Linked DNA regions of Macaca mulatta. The protein of the gene in region 1 interacts with the protein of each later gene in a biochemical or structural test. Links are inferred from orthologs where the notes say so. Each region holds a gene or a part of one and is shown in the gene's direction. Other genes may lie near its edges. The genes, in order: GLG1 and SELE.

Region 1 (4,362 bases):
GCAGCCTCACGATCATTTTAAGGCAGTAACAAAGGTGACCGTTGGTGGAGATGCCAACAAGCTCTCATTCCCCATGATAGAGGCCTGGGGTCAGCCACAGTGGGTAATTTGTACTCACAGAATATCTTCAGTCTCAGGGGCTCCTTTTAGGTTCCCTGAGCTCCTGACTTCTCAGGTTCTAGTTATGTCTAATCTGGTCTTGACTGATCATTTGTGGGTCAGGACAGCAGAAGCTGCATTTTTGGACACAATGACCAGGGAAGATTACACATCCCAAACTGCCCTGATTCCCCAACATGTGTATGGACAAAGTGGGATAAAAGTGCACCAGGGTGGTGGGAAGCCCCAGGGATTCTGGTGGCTAGCCTGGCTGTCTACAGGATGGCAGAGTTCTTCTTGGGCCGCTCATTTAATCCCTCCGCACAGAACTGTTAACATCTCTATGCCATTCTTCAGCTAAATGAGAACCTAACGCAGGCCTGATGCATGGCTCAGATTACACAGCGGATGTGAAGAGGCTTTGGGAACATATCCTTTCTCCTAAGGACAGGGAGGGGATGCTAGCGTGGGGTGCCTGCGATATTGCATGCAGGTCAATGAGAACAGTTACCGACACAGACTTAACCCGAGTCCTCAAAGTGTGTTTTATTATTATTTGTTCATCCTTTAAACATGAATCTAAATGTTGGCTTAAAATCAGGATTTACGCACAAAGGGCTTCACAGTTTAACAATACTGGCTATGACTTTTGGAGTTCCATGTTGTGGGCCAGGCACTTCCCTTATTATTATTTTGAATCTTGTCAATGGTACTTTACATTTGAGCTCTTGCCCACTCTATCAGAGCAAGGATTATAACCTTAATTTTTTTCTTACCCCAAGACCTATGCTCTTAACCCTATTCAATGCTGTCTCTCTCTTTGGCTAGGAAAGACTTCTGAGGCAGGTGGAAGGAAGGAGGGAGCGATGCAAGGAGAAGCTTTCCGATTCCGTAACACACCTGGTTGTGCAAAGTTCACCTCTACATATAAAGTTTTTGTTTTCCAAGTCATTGAACCGGCGACATATTCTACCGGCCATTTTGGTTGTGGCAACCCCAATTCCCTTGATTTTTTTTCTGTGACAAGAAAGGGAATTAGACTAGGCCGCCTTGCCCGGGCTTTTTAAGAAACCCCACCAACCACCCAGGTAAGAAGCGCCGCTCTCCCAGCCGCGGGTCCAGGGCGTGTACGGTTTTCAGTGTAGCCTCTTCCTTCGCCCCACTCTGGACTTGCGGGTCGGCGCCGGCAGGGGCGGGCCTCGGCAGGGCCACGCTGCCACGCCCGGCGTCTCCGCCCCCTTATTTAAATACGCGGCGCCGGCGAGTGCGTCGAGCTCGCCGCGGACCCAAGATGGCGGCGTGTGGACGTGTACGGAGGATGTTCCGCTTGTCGGCGGCGCTGCAGCTGCTGCTGCTAGCCGCGGCCGGGGCCGAGAAACTCCCCGGCCAGGGCGTCCATAGCCAGGGCCAGGGCCCCGGCGCCAACTTTGTGTCCTTCGTAGGGCAGGCCGGAGGCGGCGGCCCGGCAGGTCAGCAGCTGCCCCAGCTGCCTCAGTCATCGCAGCTCCAGCAGCAGCAGCAGCAGCAGCAGCAGCAGCAGCAGCAACAGCAGCAGCAACAGCAACAGCAACAGCAGCCTCAGCCGCCACAGTTGCCTTTCCCGGCGGGTGGGCCTCCGGCTCGGCGAGGAGGAGCGGGGGCTGGTGGGGGCTGGAAGCTGGCGGAGGAAGAGTCCTGCAGGGAGGACGTGACCCGCGTGTGCCCCAAGCACACCTGGAGCAACAACCTGGCGGTGCTCGAGTGCCTGCAGGATGTGAGGGAGGTGAGGAGGTGGGACGAAGCCGGGAGGGCCAGGCCTGGTGCGGGCCCGAGGGTGTTGCCAGCCTTGGAAGACGCTGACGCCGGTCGGCTGCTTTTCTCGCTTCCTCTGTGCTGCACTCGCTCCTTCCCTCTTTGCTCCTCATTCCCAGGCGCATTCAGGGAAAAGGATCCCACCCCCACTTCTATTCCCTCGCCCTTATTTCCCTCCCTGTTGCCGGGGTCTGGGACGAAGACCTGGACTCCTGGCCGCAATCCGCGGAGGCCCAGAGCGTGTCTGTTCGCTCCTGTCTTTTGTGTGATCCTCTATACCGAGTGTCTCCTCGCCGAACACCAGTTTAGGATTTTGCGATCAGTTTTGACTAGGACAATTTGTGGCAAGCCATTTAAACATAAAAAAATGCCTGGCGTACTTAGGCTGTAAAGAACGATCTGTTTATTAGCAGTAGGGGTTTGATCTGCTGTTTATTACAGTAGATGTAATTCGCAAATCCATCTTCTTGCTGAAATAATGTATGCTTTGTTTTCTTCACTTCCTTTGGTCAGTTTGTATTGAACCCCATGTTTAGGCTGTTAACTCCGAGTGACTTGGCGACCCAAAGCTTGAAAAGTTGGGGAAGCATTTGAAGCTGTGTTTGTGGCTGGGTTATGGGGTCTTGCTTTTCTGAGGTCTCAATGTGATTTTAACAGTATCTGTTAATGAAATCTAGATTTGCCATTGCTTGGTGTGATTCAGTTAAGTGACATTGATAATTTATAATCTAGGTTTAATGCTGCAGACTGTAAGTGCATATTTGACAATTCTCAAAGTTTGGGAGCAAATCTGACAGTAGAAACTTTTTCCAGAGGTGTAAGTATTAGAATTAGCCCTAAAGGTTGACACATAGAATAAAGCTGCTACTTGATACTGTTTTTAGCTGTTTTTTTTTTTTTTTAAATTGTAGTATCAGATTTGTTTACGGCGTTCAAGTTATAGGAAGACCACTGACTTGTAGAAATTTGCTACTCTTGGTTCATCTCATGCTCTAGTATTCTATACAAAAGCAATTCAGATAGAGGAAAAGACATACATAAGCAGGAGACAGAAAGAAAGGAAGTTTCCAGAACCACTGGAAATGCGAGGCCTTACCTGACTTCTCATCTTCAGCTTGAAGGCTAGAAGGATAGTCCTCTGATAGATACAGCTAAGATTCCTAAGTCGGGGTGTCAAACTTTTTGGAATTTTCTTTTTGCTCTTTGAGGACACATAATAGATGTCGTTTCATCAAACTACGATCCTAATACTGGTGACCAAACACATTATTAGTGGTTTGTGGTAGAAACAGCACTTTATTTATTTATTTATTTATTTATTTTGAGACGGAGTCTGGCTTTGTCGCCCGGGCTGGAGTGCAGTGGAGCGTTCTCGGCTCACTGCAAGCTTCGCCTCCCGGGTTCACGCCGTTCTCCTGCCTCAGCCTCCCGAGTAGCTGGGACTACAGGTGCCCGCCACCACGCCCAGCTAATTTTTTGTATTTTTAGTAGAGACGGGGTTTCACCGAGTTAGCCAGGATGGTCTTGATCTCCTGACCTTGTGATCCGCCTGCCTTGGCCTCCCAAAGTGCTGGGATTACAGGCGTGAGCCACTGTGCCCGGCCAGAAACAGCACATTATTAGGGAAAGTGGCAAAAAGTGCCTACGCAAGGAGTGTATATATCCTTATTCATGTGTATTCCGGACATTTGGAAACCTCCACTTAAAGGAGGCACTTTTATGCTCCAGAGGAGGAAAGGTGTCATGTAAATTGGAAATGGGAGTTTTGGGGGTTTAGGGGGAGGGGGAGGAGCCAAATTCCCAATTTAATGTTTTTTCCTCCAGTTTTTACATACAGAAATACTGAAAGAAGAGTACTGTGAACACCTGTGTATATTCTTCAGGAGGTGGAGTTATTTTTAAACTTCTTTTCTTTTTCCTTTTCTTTTTTTTTTTGATACGGAGTCTCACTCTGTTGCCAGGCTGGAGTGCAGTGGCGTGATCTCGGCTCACTGCCACCTTCACCTCCCGGCTTTAAGCAGTTGTCCTGCCTCAGCCTCCTGAGTACCTGGGACTACAGTTGCGTGCCACCACGCCCAACTAATTTTTGTATTTTTAGTAGAGACAGGGTTTCACCATTTTGGCCAGGATGGTCTTGATCTCGTGACCTTGTTATCTGCCCATCTCGGCCTCCCAAAGTGCTGAGATTACAGGTTTGAGCCGCTGTGCCCACCTTATTTTCTTTTCTTTTTTTTTTTTTCTTTTTTTTTGAGACGCCCGGGCTGGAGTGCAGTGGCACGATCTCGGCTCACTGCAAGGTCCACTTCCCGGGTTCATGCCATTCTCCTGCCTCAGCCTCCCGTGTAGCTGGGACTACAGGCACCCACCACCACGCCTGGCTAATTTTTTGTATTTTTAGTAGAGACGGGGTTTCACCGTGTTAGCCAGGATGGTCTCGATCTCCTGACCTCGTGATCCGCCCTCCTCGGCCTC
Region 2 (4,583 bases), on another chromosome or scaffold:
ATGGGGAATGTATATACAATAATCCAGAAGAAATGTCAAAATGCAGAGCAGGAATATAGGATACCACATACATCTCCTTCTGTTGCATTTGGAAACAAGTTTCTTTTCTTTTCCTTTTTTTTTTTTTTTTTTTTTTTTTGAGATGGAGTCTTGCTCTGTCACCCAGGCTGGAGTGCAATGGTGCGATTCAGCTCACTGCAACCTCCGCCTCCTGGGTTCAAGCGATTCTCTTGCTTTAGGCTCCCCAGTAGCTGGGATTACAGGCATGCGCCACTACAACCCAGCTAATTTTTGTATTTTTAGTAGACACAGCATTTCACCATATTGGTCAGGCTGGTCTGGAACTCCTGACCTCAGGTGATCCACCCACCTCAGCCTCCCAAAGTGCTGAGATTACAGGCATGAGACACCATACCTGGCCTAGAGACAAGTTTCTTTAAACTGTATTCTTGTTACGATAAAGGTGGAAAAAAAGGGAAATTGAAAAAATCAGAAGATTCTGAAAATAATAATGAAGGATATAAAAATTATCCCAAATCCTGCCATCCAGAGATAGTCACTGTTAACATTGTGGAAGAGTTTTTATTCTTTGCACATTAACATTTCAAAAAATTTAAACAAAATTTGGAGCAATTAAATATGGATATATAGTTTTCCTTTTTATTTTTATTTTATTTATTATTATTTTTTAAGACAGAGTTTCACTCTTGTTTCCCCGGCTGGAGTGCAATGGCGTGATCTTGGCTCACTGCAACCTCTGCCTCCCAGGTTCAAGCAATTCTCCTGCCTCAGCCTTCTGAGTAGCTGGGATTACAGGCATGCACCACCATGCCCAGCTAATTTTGTATTTTTAGTAGAGACAGTGTTTCTCCATGTTGGTCAGTCTGGTCTTGAGCTCCTGGCCTCAGGTGATCTGCCCACCTCGGCCTCCCAAAGTGCTGGGATAAAAGGCATGAGCCACCACGCCAGCCTCCTTTTTATTTTTTTACACTGAACAAACCATGAAACTTTCCCATATGTAAATATCTATTTCCCATTTTTCTTATTTTTAAAAAATAAGACATCATTTTAATCATTTGAGTGGTAGATATTATTTTTAGATAATATTTTAATTTAGGCATAACTGCTATGCAAAATCTGAAGATTAATATCTACCTCGTGAGTCATTCCTCTGTGAGACAGTGCATGTTAAATATGTTGAATTGGCAGGTGAAAAAGGAAGAAAAAATGAGTAGTGATTGGTTATCAACAGCCATGAATGAGAAATTGAAGGTAGTAGACTATGGATGACAAACCTATTCTTGGTTTCCTTATGTTTCTGAAATTCTACCACAACTACATGAGAGATACTACTAACACGCAAAGTTTTACAACTTTTTAAAGACATAGACTTTACGTTATCAGAATTAAAAATCATGCATTTGTGTCATATTAATAAAATTGCATATATAGTATAAAGGCATGGACAAAGATGAAGTAGCTTCAAGAGACAGAGTTTCTGACATCATTGTAATTTTAAGCATCGTGGATATTCCCGGGAAACTTTTTGGATGCCATTGGGGATTTCCTCTTTACTGGATGTGGACAATATCCTCCTATTATTCACAGGAAGCAATCCCTCCTATAAAAGGGCCTCAGCCGCAGTAGTGTTCAGCTGTTCTTGGCTGACTTCACATCAAAACTACTATACTGACCTGAGACAGAGGCAGCAGTGATACCCATCTGAGAGATCCTGAGTTTGAACAACTGCTTCCCAAAAGAGTAAGTGCAGAACGCTTTATAAGGGCAGCCTTGGGCCATGAAACACAGATATGCAAAAAGCCTTCTAGTAAAAACCACATCTGTACAAGCTCTTATTGAATTGTAGCTAAAACCTGTCTTTTCTCTTTGACCTAAATGATGAAAATCTTAAAATTTGTTTATTTATTTGATTAAACTCTGAAATAAAGATTATGGCACTAGAATCCTTTACCCAAAATCTTAGGATGCTGCCTTAAACATCATGGTAGAATAATGTAACTGGCTACTCAGGATTTCCTTCTCTAATTCATTTTGTGTTTTATCTCCCCAGTAAAGTATTTCAAGCCTAAACCTTTGGGTGAAAAGAACTCTTGAAGTCATGATTGCTTCACAGTTTCTCTCGGCTCTCACTTTGGGTAAGTCAGTGTCATTAGACCAGGATTTCTCATTCTCGCACTATAGATGTTTCAGACTGAAATATCCTTGCTTGTCTGGGTCCGTCCTGTGCAGGGTATCTGACAGCATCCTTGACCTCTACCTGCAATGTGTTCTTCCCCAGGCTTTGGGCCATTTACTTTACCTCTTAGTGTCTCCCTTTCCTTAAGTGTAAAGTGTGGATCATAAATGACCTATTTCCCAGATGCGTTGTGAGGATTCAATAGCATGGTTCATGGAAAGTACCTCATACAGTGCTACTTGGTGCCTACTAAGTGCTCCATAAAGCTTAGTTATTCTGATTATTATTCTACTACAAAATGGGTTTACTATAATGTTGTGAGTGAGTGCGGGTAAAGCACCTCGTGGGTGGCCAGTCACAAAAGAGATAAACGATAAGTCACTGTTTCTTCATACGTACCTTTTACTTTTGAAAAGATGAGAAAAGTCTGGTCACAAACATTGCCAAAAATAAGACAATAAAAAGCACAGTTATCAGAGTTAAACCACAACAGCACCAAACTCTACCATGTCTTTTCTTTTTCTCCCACTAGTGCTTCTCATTAAAGAGAGTGGAGCCTGGTCTTACAACACCTCCACAGAAGCTATGACTTATGATGAGGCCAGTGCTTATTGCCAGCAAAGGTACACGCATCTGGTTGCAATTCAAAACAAAGAAGAGATTGAGTACCTAAACTCCATATTGAGCTATTCACCAAGTTATTACTGGATTGGAATCAGAAAAGTCAACAATGTGTGGGTCTGGGTAGGAACCCAGAAACCTCTGACGGAAGAAGCCAAGAACTGGGCTCCAGGTGAACCCAACAATAGGCAAAAAGATGAGGACTGCGTGGAGATCTACATCAAGAGAGACAAAGATGTGGGCATGTGGAATGACGAGCGGTGCAGCAAGAAGAAGCTTGCCCTGTGCTACACAGGTAGGGAGTTTGTGGCTGCAGTGGGCGGTAGTTTCAGTGTGTGGGCATCCTGGCAAATTTACGGCATGCAAAAATTGCTCTCTATTGTGGTCATTTTATGTTCTAAAAGATTCTGTTTAACTGCTAAAGTTTCTCTCTTTTGCTGTTTTGTGTGAATGTGGGCAAGAAAATGTGGGTATGTGTATATATGTATGTATGTATGTATATACACACACATATATATACACATACACATATGTGTGTGTGTATATATAAAATGTATCTAAATACTGTAGGCAAATATGTAGTTCTTTACATTGCACACACACAATACATATTTTAATTGCTTGTTTATTGTGGTAGGGGAACTGTCTCCAGAGTTTGTGAAGAAGTAACTTTTCTATGGTAGGTGCCAGCCACAGCTATACATTAGCATCAAGGTTTAAGATAGGTGGGCCTGAAGCTCAGATTTGGAACTTCGTAAAACACTTCAGTTAAAGTCTATGGCACTCTGTAGCACTGCTGATGTCTCCGTTGCACACTGTTGATTCTAAAATCAAAGGCACTCAGTATAAGCACAGCAATAGTCCTCCTCACCATGCTTTGTGTTTTCTGCAGCTGCCTGTACCAATACATCCTGCAGTGGCCACGGTGAATGTGTAGAGACCATCAATAATTACACTTGCAAGTGTGACCCTGGCTTCAGTGGACTCGAGTGTGAGCAAAGTAAGTCTGGTTCTCACCTCTTTCTTCACTTGAGATGGTAGCACGATCTGATGTCCTAGCTGGCATTAGAGTCAGGTCTGCATGCCTTCCCTTCCCTGGTGCAGATGGTGTCATATGGTGATAGTGAGTTGAGACTATGAAGTCAGACCCTTCTGGGTTTGAGTCCTAGATTCACCAGTTGTTTATTATGGAACCTTGACAAGATAGTTTAAATCTCTAGGTCACAGTTTTCTCATTGTAAAATGAGGATAATAATGTGAACTTTATAGGCTCATGGTTACATAGTGCCTGGCTCACAGGATACATTCAATAAACTGTAGTTCTGTGTCCCTGCAAGGAACAGGTGCTCACATCATCTAGGTGGTAACAAGACGTTGCAGTAGAAATGAGTGAGTTACAGAGTCCAGGGTATCTTGGTTCATGCTCTGGCTCTGTAATGACTAGCTGTGTAGCATGGAGCAAGTCGATTGAATGAAATGAGGTCTCAGTTCCTAAATTTGTAAATTTAGAGAGTTAGATTAGCTTCTCTCCAAAATTCCTTAGCACAGCGTTGTGCAGTAGAGCTTTTTGTGATCATGGAAATGTTCCATAGCTGTGCTGTCCAGTGTGTAGCTATGAGCCACATGTGGTTATTAAGTACTTGAAATGTGGCTGGTGACACTGAGGAACTGAATTTTAAATATCATTTGATTTCAACGAATTCAAGTTTAAATTTGAGTAGCCACACATAGATGGTTGCTACTACATTAGACAGTGCAGCATTGG

What was found.
Region 2: the proteins of GLG1 (region 1) and SELE form a complex in vitro, tested with the Homo sapiens proteins (2 studies listed by BioGRID and IntAct). The link is inferred for Macaca mulatta from reciprocal best matches to the Homo sapiens genes GLG1 and SELE.

What each region holds. Positions count from the first base shown.
Region 1 is NC_133425.1:69,910,535-69,914,896, reverse strand, and holds the start of GLG1 (Golgi apparatus protein 1), read left to right. Parts: upstream 1-1,370; 5' UTR 1,371-1,390; coding exon 1,391-1,861; intron 1,862-4,362. UniProt on the Homo sapiens protein: Binds fibroblast growth factor and E-selectin (cell-adhesion lectin on endothelial cells mediating the binding of neutrophils).
Region 2 is NC_133406.1:27,237,245-27,241,827, reverse strand, and holds the start of SELE (E-selectin), read left to right. Parts: upstream 1-1,638; 5' UTR 1,639-1,761; intron 1,762-2,071; 5' UTR 2,072-2,119; coding exon 2,120-2,156; intron 2,157-2,729; coding exon 2,730-3,113; intron 3,114-3,710; coding exon 3,711-3,818; intron 3,819-4,583. UniProt on the Homo sapiens protein: Cell-surface glycoprotein having a role in immunoadhesion. Mediates in the adhesion of blood neutrophils in cytokine-activated endothelium through interaction with SELPLG/PSGL1. May have a role in capillary morphogenesis.